Linked DNA regions of Daphnia pulex. The protein of the gene in region 2 purifies or fractionates together with the protein of the main gene of each other region. This does not show direct contact. Links are inferred from orthologs where the notes say so. Each region holds a gene or a part of one and is shown on either strand. Other genes may lie near its edges.

Region 1 (3,600 bases), on a different chromosome or scaffold from region 2:
TCTGCTTTAAACGAATGATTAACACGAAACACTGTAAAGAATGCTAACCGTGAAAGTGCGAGGTGTATGACCAATATGATGAAGAGAGCTAGCAGCTATATTCATGGCTTCTCGACTTCGCTGAAGCGCTAGATAACAGTGAACTATACCACGATAGATTTCGAATCGGTGCGGAGCTGTCTGTAATCCTTCCCTATTATCATGTTAAACTTGTTGTTAATATTACTATAATTTTTTTTTAAATATTACTAAAATTTAAAAAATATCTCAATAATTAAAAAATATATTTCAATAATTTTTTTTTAAACATCACAGGACTTACCTAAAATGTGTGATAGCTTCAGGCCATTTTTTAAGCTCTTGTAAAATCGTACCCTTAAGGATTAGGGGCTCTATCCCAGGGGTTGGAATGCAACATGTGCAAGCCTATGAGAAATATGTTTGCGCGGTTTTTAAAACTATTTGTAATAAGACCACATCGGCATTGCTATCTTACTTTATGCGCAAGGTACAGAGCGCGAGTTAGTTTGCGTGACAAAAGATAATGGTATCCCATGGCCACCTAATTTGATAAATTAAAATTAATACAGGAACAAGGGTAATTAGAAATAAAAAACAAATAATTTTACCCACGATTCGAAGCTAGAATCAGAAACAGAGATTAGCTTGAGAGCTAGTGCTTCAAGTTCAACACTTTTCTTTTCATTCGCTAAAATGACTGCTAAAATATCCATTCCTTTTAGCGACAAAGGATCGAGGGAATGCGCCTGAACAAACGCAAATATGAGATGAGCACCAGATATTTTTTTTCTCAAATCATTTAACATACTCGTTGAAGCGGTAGAAGGGCGCCCGCTCCATCCCCGGCCAAGAAAAGGGTTGTTCCTTGTGATACCAAATTTGTTACATCATCTTTGAGCAATGATGCATCTTGCAAATGGCAAAAAATGGTAGAAGCACTCAAATATTCACAAGAATGAAGATGGCACTGTCCTTTGATCCACTGAACAACCCTTCAGAATTTAAGGGAAAAAAACGAAAATAAACATTATTCAACAAAGATTTACATTTTATACATATGAGCCTACTCACCAATCTAAGTTATTTGATGGGTTTCCATTAAAAATTAAACGAACAAGTTCAACATAACTAACTCCAAGTTTAATCAAAGCCAATATAGCTTCTAGGGCCAAAGGACATTCACGAATAACCTCTTTAAAAGCAGAAATGGCTGGGCGTTCAAGCCCATTCATAACATACAACTTGCCTAAAGCCATATTAACCCTAACTGATCGTAGTTTGGCTGGGATCCCTTGAAGGACAAGAAGTGCTTGCACTGACTGTTTTAAAGCAAGGTGGCATATGTGCATTTGATAGCGAATCTCTAGAATTGTTATTTCAAACTTATTTAGGAAAAACTTGTTTATACTTTAAAACAGAACATCAAACCTGTTTCAGCTGAAAGCTCTTTGGCAGCACTATTTCCCATCCCCCTTTGTTTAGAAAGGGTTTTTCTCAGATCTAGGGCTTTTCTGTAATAAACTTCTGCTTTTCCATATTCCTTTTGTTCAAGGAATGAATCTGCAAGGTACACCATTGTTTGGGCAATGCTTGCAGGAGGTAAAAGCTCAGGATTGTTATCAGTAGCTGAAAGAACCATTGGAGCCTGTAGAAAAATTCCAGATATTCATTAGATTGGTAATTAGCATAGACTACACTACTTCGTAGTCTATGGTAATAGAATGAAATCTACACTGAACTCATTCCTATTGTCATACTCAAGGTAAAAGTCACCAGTAGCACTTATTCAAAATGGAATAATATGAGTTGTAGGAGTAGATACTACTGCCCAAACAAAAATATAAATGATATAACTAAAACATTTGTTAATATTTATAGCATTGCAATACAATGGTGACATTTAGCTATCGATAACATTCACGGAAAGCACAAGAAACTATATAGTTACCAGAGCAACAATATTTGTATAAAGTTTGTTATCAAACAACATTTGAATTTGCTCGTGAAGAATCATAATGACTAACTCTGAAAGTAATATATATACTCAAAGAGAAGAAAAAAACTATAACACAAACTTGATCAGCAGTCACCAATAAGAAAATCACAATATAAAGTGGTAAAGTGCAGAGAAGGGTTGGAAACGCGTAAAGTGCGGGATTATCGGTACGGAGAGACAACAAACAGCGTAGGCCTACCGGCGCACCAGCGTACTGAATGCTGAATCTACTAATTTCGTTAAAATTATTTAAAAAATTAAATTATTATCTAATCAAATTCAACATTCAGTAACAACATTCAATATTTTACTAACGTAAAACAATGTATATTTATTTTATTCCTTCCTCGACGAGAAACAGGAAAGAGAGATGCAAATAAAATTAAGTGGACGCTTTAATTTAGGGAGCAAAGTGTGGGAACATAAATATAAGAATAAAGTTATTAAAGGGAGGACGATGTTAGAACATGAACGGATTCATCATCGCCATTTGCTGTCGAAGCATCATCATTTGTTGCTGTCGTTGAAGCAAGAGCATTTGCTGCTGATGCATCATTTGTACGGCCTGAACGCTCATTGCCGCATTGCTCCCGAACGATGAATAAGGTAGACCACCGGCGACCATTGATCTATTGGGATCGGTGTAGTATCCTTGGCGGTTGGGGTTGCTTGAAGAGGCCAGATTGGCCAAACCCAAGAGTTGAATCAACGTCTGGTATCGTTGCAATTCCTGTTGGCTTCTGCTCGGCTGCTGCGCCAGGCTCATCTGAGAGAAGCCCAACTGTCCTTGCTGGGCCAACGGATTGACCATCATGGCAGCTTCCTGTTTCGTCACCGTCTGCTTGATTTGTTCCCAAAGCTGAGGACGCTTAGCCGGAGGCTCGTTCAGAAGCTGGGCCATCAGGATTTGTTGTTTGTTAAATTGCTGAGCTTCCGGTTTCACCTGCTGCTGGAGTACCTGCTGCTGGACCAAGAGCTGCTGCTTTTGCGCTTCCAGGTTCTGTTGAAGTTGCTGCAACTGTGGATTGAGCGCCGCTTGCATCACAGCACCAGGTTGGTGGCCGTTCACCATATTACTCTGATCTATAAATGCAAGAATGAAGGAAAAACAAGATAGAGGTCAATCAACTGATCAAACGGTTCTTAATGGCGTGAACGGAATTCGACTGTCATTTGTGTGTCACACGCATACATACTTGTTATGGCTGCCTGTGCTGTTGCAATCTGGTCTTGCTTGATGTGAACCGAAGCTAATAGACCCTGCTGTTGTTTTTGGTTCTGCAAATGGAAGTTTTCCTGTTTCTGTGCCTCCAGTTCGGAGGCTATGGACATGGGGTTGTTGTTGGAGTTGGTCATTTGCTGCAGGAGGGCCAATTGCTGAAGAGGACTTTGCATTCCGGCCGCGCTTCCACCGCTCAGCCCAGTGGCTCCTGTCGGCACGTTCGCATTGAACTGGCGACTTTTGACATTGGACGACTTTTCGGCAGGAGACACCGGCGCCGTTGAGTTGGCGACGTCTGGCTGAGGTAGCGGAACAGCCAGAGTGAATCCATTCCAGACGGACGCCAATACAATGACGGCTA
Region 2 (10,804 bases):
ACATGAAATATGCTTATGCAATGGTAAAGAATAATAATTGTCTGGATGCATTACCAAAAGTATTTGATGTTGGGGCTCCAAAAGTGGGTCTATTTTGTCCAAACATTTTTAAAGATGTATCATTGAAGAAGCCGGCACACTCCGCAGCTAAGTAAAAAAGAAAATGTCAAAAATGTCTCCCAATATTTATGGAGTACGAAATGCAACACCACAGAAGTCTTAATCTCGGAGAACTCACAATTTGAACTTACAATGGCTAGCGGTCGTCACACAAGTTTTTAGAACACAACAGTAATCTCAGCACGCGGGAGTCGTATGAACTTGCTGACAATTCAATGAAACGTTGAAAAGGCAAGACGGTGCTCATACGAATTACGAAAGGCAAAAAGCAGTTGCGGCGCACAAGAATGAGAATAGAAAGAAGGCCGTTTGACTGCGTCTTCCAGCGGTTAGTATTCATTAACTTGCATTTAGCAATTCAATATGTTTACACTATGATGACACGAAATTTAAGAGGTGTAAAATATTTTAATTAGAATTTGATTGTTGCAAAATTAAAGAGTTTTGGTTAGTTTTCGCAAAAATCTAAACACTGAGAGTCATTATAGGTGGCGCTACGTACATGGCCACCAAAGTTTGACCCTTGATTTAGTTGCATAGTGGGCCTTGTACTTCAGAACTAAACGCAACACTTACGTTTACTCCAAAATTCAATTTTTGAATTGTTGTGTTTTCTTGTTTGTTCAGGCAAAGTGGCTGACAGTTTATTTTTCAATATGAAAAATGTTCTTCTTTTTCTGAAATAGTTAAAGATTCGAGATATTTTTTGTTGTAATAAGTTTCGCAGTCGTGTTAAACAATGGGCCCTGGTCTTGCGAATTCGAGTGGGAGTTCTGTTGAAGAAGATGATGTTTTCAGTTCTCAATTTGCTGCTCTTCTTAAGCCAATTCGAGAGCTTACTAAACAAGGATGTTGGGAGCTGAATATAGCTGATAAATTGGAGGAATATGTCCAGTATATTCAAGATTTGCGGATTGAAGTTAATGTAAACGGGGAGCAAATGAAGCTAGATTTTGCTAAGGCTGCTATGGTTGTACAGAATAGTGCACAAATCTATAGCAAGAAAGTTGAGCAGCTCTGGCTTCTTCTCCAAGAAGTGATTGAGTTTTTAAGTTCGAATGGGTAACTAAAATCATGTACTGTACAATGTTTTACTTTCTAATAAAACACATTTCTCTCTACTCTCTATAGGAATGGTAATGAAAATGATGAAAATCAAACACCTGGCTCCAAGATAAGAAGAAATCACCGAAAAAAACATCACAAAGGAGATGTAGATCTTATCACAGAACCAATTCCACTGAAGTTTAGAAAGTTTGGCTCAAAATTAAAGAGAAAAGCTACAGCCAAAGACACAAAAAAGATCCAAACTTTACCGTATGAAATCTTGCAACTAGAAGAAGTTATAGGAAGCTTAAATTCTGTTAAAATTAAACTCTACACACTTTCAAACGAGCATTTGGGTTACCCCTCTGATCTAAGATCTAATTTCCCCTTTGACCCTTACACTTTGTTTTTGCAAATCCATCACGCAAACGGATTTAAAGTACATCCCGAGAGAGATGTCCTTAACGAAAACCAAGGTAAAATGAAAAATGTGGATATTTTTTTCCGTTTATTAATTTATTTTATTTTTAACGAAGAAGCTGAACATTCCGTCGCAGATTTGGTGCCAACCGAACCAGTTCCTATAACGTCTATGCACCAAGATGATCTAGAAGTCGAACCTCCTAACTTGGATGATTGGCAAAATGACGGAGAAATGGCCTCAGAAAACGAAATCATTCCAGATGACCTCGAAGAAAACGGGAACTCCAACGGTTTAACCGAAGAAGTTGTTGAGAGAATGCAACTACGCCAGAGAGCTCCGGCTCCAATTTCTGTGGTACTCATTAATTCTGTTTTTTTTTTTTTATTAGAACGAATGTGTAATATTTTTTTAGATAAATTTTTTATTACATTATTGATCATCTTTTTACAGGAGAATCAAGTAAAAGAAAAAGATCCTTGGGGTGGTATGGATCCCTATTCCGAAAGTGACGCTTTAAAGAAACCTTGTGGAGCTCCGGTTCGATGCAAGATGCCTGTTGCCTTGTAAGTTCCGATTTTCGGTCAAACTGCTTTATTACGTCATTTATCAAACAATCGCTTACAGGAGAAAACGGAAAGGGGTGGGGAAGGTTCCCATAAATGAAGAAATTTGCGTTGAAATAGACGAATTTCTAGGGAAAAGTCAAATCGTTAAAAAGCCTGCCTTAAAATATTCCCAGCCTGATACCGAATTCTGGGAAGATTACGTACACTTTACGAAAACAACTGGGACCGTCATTAAAAAACAACAAAAACTTCGGCCTGAAAGTCAGTATATTTTGAATAATTCGCAAAAGAATGTGGAGTAATGTGTCCTTTACTCCTATCAATAAAGAAAATATCGCGGAAGGGATCGAAGAAATGGACCAACAGGACATCAATAACGAAGACGATGACCATTTCCACAAAGATACCCCAGAGTTTGAAAATAGTTTTGACAATTCTGGTGGTCTTGGTAATAATTCTTAGTTCTCCAACTTAATCTCTCAAATTGAGATACTCACTCATCAGCCCCCTCCCCCTCTCTTTTTTTTTTTCAGATGATTCATATGACGGTTTTCATCCAGAACTTGTTGGGGATCCGGTAGAACCCACAAAAGAAATGGATGAATCAAAACAGTTTTTTGAACTTGTTCAGCAGTTTATGGCAGAGTATACTGCTTCCGCCAAAGTACATACGATCCATTTACTTCTGATGAAACATTTATAATGAAATCGGTCGCATATATTTTTCTTTCAGGAATTTGTAACGTCGACTGAATCGACCCGCCGAGTTCAGGCGTGGCATGATATGATTCAACCGAGACTTCGTGAGGCCGAAACGCGTCGTGATTTTGATATTCACCTTTATGGAAGTCGCATTATAGAGGAATTCGGGTCTGATGCGCCTATAGGAAGCCAATGTGCTTTTACCAAAATTGTTCATGACCAACCGAAAAACGAAGTAGCCAGATATTTTCTCGCCACTCTGCAATTAGTAAGTTTCATAAAAGCTACAGTTCAATTTCGTTTTGATATGCAATTTTATTAACAATTATAGGCAAACGCTTACAACGTGGAAATTCAACTTCAAGATGCTTTAACTCTCGATGGAGTGGAACTAAAACTCCTATCTCGAGAGAGGCATCACGAACACATGGACGATTTCATCTGATGAACTGTCAGCAAGATGTTTGGTCCTAATAGTCCATCAGGGAGAGACGGCCATATCCACGTCGCTGATATCCTTTTGATTTCCTCCATCTTTTGATATATCTGCGATAAAAATGCCATTCCATTAACATACCTTGTTAATAATAAACAATTTGAAAGTTAACCAGGTTTTCACTTTTACGTACCGTGCGATAAGTCTGAAACATCCTCAATGTCCTGATCCTCGTCTTCGACGTCTTCTTCCTCTTCAACTTCCATGTCAAATATGCGAACCTTCCTTTTTGACGAAGAAAAGATAGCGGCAACCTTTCGACTGGACGATAGACCGAGGGTAGTAGCCTGAAAGTCGTTTAAGACACGAAACGAGCTTGCTTCAATAAAGGTATTGACATCCACTGATCGAAGATTGCCTTGGCTGAGAACTGATGAAACGAAAACGTCTGAATGGAAGGACGAGTTAAAAGGTCCTCGCCGTGACACAACGGGAGCCAAATGTTCGCGTAACAGACATAGACTGAGTTGTACGAAGATGCTATTCGTGCTGCGTTCGATCGAAAGCAAAACTGACATAATCTCGTTGTTATAGAACTGCAGATCAGCTATTTTATATTCGCCAGGAGGTAGATGGTCGCACTTGCCAAAGGAGAAGAATGCTGCTCGAGTCAAGTTCTTACGTTCCTTCTCGGAGGCGAATTCAAACAGGTAAAATCCTGAAGAATGAGTGGTCGAATTTGTCAAGCCAAGAAGATTACACCGATCTTTTGGTTGGTTGATGGATCGTGTTGTGATTCTGATCTTGTCCAGACTGTCCGAAGGACAATCTAACGTCAGGTCGGTGATAAACGGCAACGACGCAGTCTGTCCAACAGCTGAAGGGATAGCTTCGAAACTGGCTTTGACCTGATGTTCCAAATGGGCGAACTCTTGAGCAAGAGAGCGTTCAGCACGGGGTTGAAATAAGTCCGAGTCCTGAAGATTCGCAATAGATGGACAAGCTTCTATCAACATGTCCCAGGGTCTAGTTTTAGAGCTGGCAACAAAAGTCAACGGCTCATTCCTCAAATATTGCCCAATACGATCCAGACGTACTTGTCCATCGGTCTCAAAATCTTTGGCGAGGAAGTTGGCGATAAACCGTACATCTTGCTGGGTACTGGTGGCAAGCTCGGGTGGGATAGGCTCGTCCGAGAGGCGCAAGATGGTAACGTAAAGCCAGCGGAAGAATGTCTTGAGGTACTTGACAGAACCATCGATCACCTGTTGAAGCTCAGCGGTTTTGGCGGTAAAAGAGCCGGCCGCCCGGTATGCAGCTAAACACGAATTGACTTGGAGGCCGAGGCATGAGAAACGATCTTCTTGTTTGGCCAGCCCGCAAAGTTGTGTCAAATAGTGCGACAGTTGGTAGTTGGCACACACGATGTGTTTGATGAGCAGTTTCTGCATGTTGCTATAGGATAACTCTACGGCTTGGCCGATTCGTTTCAATCCTTTGTCAGTCAAATCGGTAACAAGAAATTTCTCCAGCTTGATCCCGGCGTGGCCAAACATCAGGAGCTCCATCAAGTCGACAGATAAGCTACTCTTGCCGTCGTTGCTTTCATAGCGAACCATTTTCGATTCGAGGTCGACTAGTGCATCCTCCCAGGCTTCTTGTAGAGCTTTCTGAGCACTGATTAGGCAGTCCATGAGGCCAGTTATCTGCCGATAGAGAAATCCTAGACCGTACAACTCTTTCAAACAATGAGTTATGAGTGGGGTTTCCACAGTCATGAGTAAAACTTCTGAGGATCCGGCACGAACATCGGCTAGTAAACACAGTTGGCTGTGATCACCATTCGGGAAAACACTTCGTACAGGTCCGATTGAATCGCTCCCACCACTCATTTCTGAAAGTTTTAGAAGGCAGCAAGGAAAGAGTCCAAAGGCGAATCCGTAAACTAACCCATTCTTTAGTCCAATCCACAAAATGCTCAGTAATTCTTCATGTTTCAATCCTTTGTCGCCATCAAGTGCTGACCCAGCATCTAGCTTTGAAGAGTTAACTTTCAATGGTTGAGGCAGCAGTTCTGGCAGCAAAAAATTGTCTGCCTCTTCTTTCACACTTGTGCTGCAGTTTTCCCAGGAAAGAGCTGTGATGGGTTCCTCACATGGGTTGAATGTGTGTACTACTTCTCCAGATTCAACGTCAACTAGAACCACATGCCCAGAACTGTATCCTACAGCTAGTATCACACTGTCTGGTCTCCAAACGATCGCTGTGACTTTGACACCATCACCTCTTTTAGAAAGCTTCCAAACTTTGCTCCATGACAACCTTCTCAGAAAAACCTCACCTACAAGAAAATAACATACAAAACAAATTTTATTATCATAGTAACACAATGGGAAAAAGAAGGATTGCAAGTTTTCACCAGAGCTGTTTGAGACGGCAATCAGATCTCGTCTGGAAGACCACAAAAGGATTTCTGTTGACGCAGTTCCAAGAATGTGTTTTTCGTCACTCTGTCTCATCATACACGACACCATTTTAAGCTGATTGTGTTTTTACACGACAATCTCGATTAGACAGAAATTAAGGAACATGTATTTACAACTTTTCGAACTTTTTTTCGGTTTCTTCTCTAGGCAACTTGAGTACATCTAGCGGTCGATTTTTAAACTGCCTGGAAACATTCAGATTTGAATTCTACCTTTTTATTACGTGTTACCTTCAAGTGTTCAACGTTATTCGCTTTTTATTTCAGTCACCACTGGAGGCCAATTGTATCGCATGGCTCTTGACGTCCATGGCTGTAGTTCGTTAACTGAATAAATAGCCACACAGTGTGATAGAATGTCTCCCCAAATTTATTTTTTTAAGGCATTTGCCGCCGCATCTTTTCAACAAGCATAAGCTCGTCTATCCGTAAATGGATGCGAAATTGAATTCGGGTTTCTGGCAAATAGGATAATCTCTTGGCCAAACAGAAACCCAGTTGATAACCTCACCACGTAAAAAATGAGCGCTATTCTTAGGCATCGAGGATTAAGCGAAGCATCGCTCCCGTGCGTTCGCGGGTGCTAAAGAAATCGATCGGAAAATAACGAACTCCCTTTGCGACACGATTATTTACCTTCATGAGAGTTTGCTCTGTTTTCTGCTTGTCTTGTCGCCGGTCGTTGATAATAATAAAACGTCATGCTGCTATATACAGTAGCAGTTGCCTAATATTTTACCGCACTTAGCCTTAGGAAAACGTGTGGGCGTTGACGGGGTCTCCCATTTCGTGCAATGTGCAGAAGCTCTCACGCGCGGGGGGAACACTTCTGCTCCTTCGGAGTGGCACAACATTGATTCATTATTTATTCGTTATCAGCGAATTTGTGCTTTTACGTCTAGACGATTGTGTTTTCGTAGCAACTTGTAAACGAAATAAAAAAAAACACGTAGTCAGATGGGAGAAAGAAAAAGTCGATATCCAAATAAGAAAAATCATCTTCTCTAAATGTATATTGTACCAGTACCTAGCCTATATAGTGCTCCTGAAGAGGATGAGGAGCAACAAGAACTTCGATTTCCACACAACTACTTTCTTTTGCTTGCTGACGTTCTCCTGTTCACACAGTTCAATGATTGTGGATTATGCGTATCAGTGCTCGTTATTCGTTGGACTCTAGAGACTGGAAAAAAAGGCACGATTATGGAGTTGGATCTTATTTGTATTCAATGCAGCAGTCTAGCGGGACCACCAACGTTCTGGTCGGTTTGAGGTGACTCCGGGGGGACACTGCGAACGGCGGGGTAATGCATAGCAACCACCGTCGATATAGACTCGAAATAATAGGAGAAAGGAGAGTTCATCCGTGCCTAGCCAACAAGCAAGCTTCATCCTATATTCAACAGAGATTGAATATTATTCCAACATTCTTTTTTTTAGGCGATTCGGATTTGTTGTCTTTACTAGTTCCTATTTTTAGTCTGGCAGTGATTTTTCCGTTATTTGACATGACCGTTTGTATACATGACTGTCGGGCCGAGATTAGATCATTGGTTTCGCTTTGACCGAATGTGAGACGCTTGAATCGCGCGTTTCTTGATGCAGGCCGACACTCATCAATTCAACGGCAATCGCGTAATTCTCCTTTCCATTCACCAGATAAGCAAACAGCACAGACTATTCAACACAAGGACAAACAGAAGAGAAAACGTGGAAAGGAAAGCGTAGGCGGAATAATATCAATTTTCTATCCCCTTTTCTTTTCCGCATTTTCATTTTTGATGTGCCTTTGCCTGTTTTTAAAAGAAAAATCAATGTTTAAAAATAGAACATAGTACCGCCGTCAATGTATTGCATGATCGATCTAATGTGCCTACGTAGATATCCTTAATGGAACCCTTTTTGTCCAAGTTTTTGTCCTTTTGTTGCTTCTCGACTCGCAAAAAGAAAAGAGCCTGGTAAAAAGAAATCAAATTTCCCCAGCTATATTAAGACTTTATATATAAACGTCCGCTACGTATTTCCTATCCAGAGTTCACGTTTAAAAGCGTCCATGTAGAGCATAGACTTTACCTATACAGTAGGTGTATTGGGTGCACGGGTCTTAATGACGTACGCCCACCCAAGTGTCGTACACCTCTTGATCAAAACCAGTAAGGTCTCGTTTCCCGTTGTGAACTTCAGTTATAGCACAACATTAGCCTTACTCGTTTGTTGTCGTATAAGATACGATCAATGGGCGCATCATCAAATCACTGTCATCGACGAATCGTTTGTTTGACAACGCCAAATTATAAAAGTCGAGCCGGATTCTGTACTCTTCACGTAACGCAAGTCACCGAGTTAAACGAGGTGACGTCAAACTTCGTCAGCGCCAAAACTGCTATACGTGTTTTACATGCTAAAGTCAATCCCATCATTTTATTTCAATCAAAATTACTATATAATCAAGGGGCCTTATAACGGAAGACGAAAACCAGTCGAAACTAGGTCTTTCTCATAACAGTAACTTACGATTGGCATTAAATTTAACCCTTCAACATTTGGGTCACATTTCTCCTATGAAGAAAGTAGATTCTTCTCCTAGGACACCAGAGCAACATCGGACACGGATGTCACTCCCTGCCACCTGATACAGGTTACATCCCATTTTAATTGGATTAACGAACCAACACCCTAGAAAAAGTTCGGAAGAAGAATAAAGAATGTATGGGGAGAGACGAGAAGTTATTACAACTAGTTAAACAAATGGATCGCGCTGGAGAGAGGGGGAGGGTATACATAGTATATACGGGGAAATATATCAGCACGCAAAGTTTTCTCTTTCGCATACATTTCCCGCTACATCCATCAGACAGCTTTTTGGGTTTTGATGTAGTAGATATATGTTGCCTTTTAGTCACAATGTTTTATTACTATTGATGCGATGATGCCGATAATAAAACAGGGTATAGATCGGCGGTCGCCAGTCACGCATGCAAGTCGTATGTATCAACGTGACCGTTTCCATCAAATATAAAAAGGTGAACCTTTGTGAGCTTTTTTACGGCGTGTGCCGACGTGCTGTATAAGTTCGGGCGTCATGATTGTTCGCCAGTCTCCGTTATTGGGCGCGGTATCGTTTCGTTCCGACTGTTTCTCCCGATTCGTCTTCATCAGAATTCGTTATTAACTGCTCTAATGGATGGTTATTAAAAAAGACCCTCGATCGTTCAACGTGAATATCAGCAAGGCAGTCATACTAAACCGCTGACGTACAGTCGTCCATCATTCAATTCAATGGAGATTAAAAACACTATAGTGGATTATGTACAGGACTGTTGGTCTTGATTCGTTATAATTCTAATCAAACAGAAGTCGCTGTATTATACCCGCACAATATCCGTCCAGCTTATGGACTTACATAAGCTGCATCGTATTAAGAAGAAGGTGAAACCCATTTAAAAAAATTAAGAAAGAAAGCAAACTCTATCGGGATGAGGTACGCATAAGAGTACATAACCGAAGGACTATACGCGGTGCATGCATGATATGCGCCACCTCATCTTGGAGACCTTTCACGCAACAGCATGGCACAAGTGCTGATGTGTGGGTGACATCAGTTCTATTTCCGAAGCGTGACTCTACATTGGGAAAATGTTTCTCTTTCTTTTGTTTTCCTTGGACTTTTGCTTGTCCTTTTTTTTTCCCCCACAGAAGCGACAGCGGTATGAACGGACGTAGACGCACATAGTTCTTGCGGCCCCGCCAACGCATCACGCATTAACACCGCTTGCTGCACGGAAAACAGGATTCCCGGCATTCTCTGGCCCTCTCCTGTCGTTGGGTGCCCGTTGGCCGCTCCATCAGTGTCTCCAGCTGCTGACGACCGCTTTGTTGGGAATTTTCTGGTAGCTACAGATGAAAAGTCGTCAGTTTAGATGGCCACTCGTCGTCGTTACAAATACATATAAATGCTAAGGCGACTTTTACGAAGGTCGAACTGGTTTCTCAATATGCCCTCAGCAGGTCACGTATACACGATCCTAAACGCCCTCCAAGCTATGCGCATTGTGTGAAAGAGTATACTTTTGGAAGGATACCAAGAGTGAACAAATAAGGTACTGTCAAATATTCTCTGGCGTCGCGTCTCGTATAAATATCCGCAGCGGACGTTTACGGTACAATACCCACATCTCGATGCCGGAATCGTGTAAAGTGGAAATCGTCTTCCGCTGTGAAACAAAAATAAAAGACACCACCAAAATGACAGAATATAAACGGCGGACCCATTGTCGACCGATTGCCCGCACTTTTTCGTCTCCATTTCGGGACAACTTCAACGTCAAGGAAATGGAAGGACCGAAATAACAGCACAGCGGAGAAAAAGAAGAAGAAGAAAAAAAAAACGGGATTCCGGACGCGGATGAGTGGGAGTATAGCAGCACGTCCTGATTGCATATTGTTTATAGGATGACACCCCCGCAAGCGATGATGATGGCAACGTGATAATTTAATGGTGCGCTTGGCTGAACGGAGAGAATAAGAACGGAGACTCTCGGATGACGCCCAGAACTCCGGGATCTGCACGGAAAGAAGAAGAAAACCCACACGGCAATGGTGATCTATATGGATTTCGTGACAGTCAAGGAATAACTTCCGGGGAAAGTCCGGGCCAAAGTTGCTGTCGTATAAAAAAATAAAAGATTTTGGCTGCTGTTTCGTGCTGATCTCACAGCTGCAGCCCTTGTTGTCTTTACTTGGAATTGCAATGAACCTCTTGGCTATATGGCGCAACACTGGCAACAGCAACTGTTTCTCTTTTGAACGGTGACGTACTGAATAAATGAATGAAAATAATAATCACATATAGATGGAAAGCTTAGATTATATACGAGGTTGGAAGTAAAACTTATTTTTTGTGTTAGATACGATTGTGTAGCAACACCTTGAGGGAAAAACCCTATGACGTCGGTCAATTGTTTGCCGAGGCCGTCGCCATCCGCTTGGCTCCCGTGTTTGTCTATTTGATGGCAAAAATGCGA

The links.
Region 1: the proteins of anaphase-promoting complex subunit 4-like (region 2) and anaphase-promoting complex subunit 7-like purify together in Homo sapiens (affinity purification with western blotting; 14 studies listed by BioGRID and IntAct, with this or other methods). This does not show direct contact. The link is inferred for Daphnia pulex from reciprocal best matches to the Homo sapiens genes ANAPC4 and ANAPC7.

The regions. Positions count from the first base shown.
Region 1 is NC_060017.1:4,025,344-4,028,943, reverse strand, and holds the start of anaphase-promoting complex subunit 7-like, read right to left. Parts: upstream 2,213-3,600; 5' UTR 2,036-2,212; coding exon 1,970-2,035; intron 1,667-1,969; coding exon 1,450-1,666; intron 1,385-1,449; coding exon 1,093-1,384; intron 1,014-1,092; coding exon 830-1,013; intron 768-829; coding exon 630-767; intron 563-629; coding exon 497-562; intron 427-496; coding exon 323-426; intron 194-322; coding exon 49-193; intron 1-48. Other genes in the region: myb-like protein K, read right to left, coding at 2,478-3,100, 3,214-3,597. UniProt on the Homo sapiens protein: Component of the anaphase promoting complex/cyclosome (APC/C), a cell cycle-regulated E3 ubiquitin ligase that controls progression through mitosis and the G1 phase of the cell cycle.
Region 2 is NC_060021.1:8,250,574-8,261,377, reverse strand, and holds anaphase-promoting complex subunit 4-like, read right to left. Parts: upstream 6,083-10,804; 5' UTR 5,830-6,082; coding exon 5,715-5,829; intron 5,637-5,714; coding exon 3,489-5,636; intron 3,467-3,488; exon of another isoform or gene 3,406-3,466; coding exon 3,341-3,405; 3' UTR 3,305-3,340; coding exon of another isoform or gene 3,191-3,304; 3' UTR 3,155-3,190; downstream 1-3,154. Other genes in the region: nuclear pore complex protein Nup98-Nup96-like, read right to left, coding at 55-106; condensin-2 complex subunit H2-like, read left to right, coding at 860-1,182, 1,252-1,643, 1,704-1,945, 2,042-2,154, 2,216-2,418, 2,486-2,605, 2,691-2,821, 2,891-3,127 and 1 more. UniProt on the Homo sapiens protein: Component of the anaphase promoting complex/cyclosome (APC/C), a cell cycle-regulated E3 ubiquitin ligase that controls progression through mitosis and the G1 phase of the cell cycle.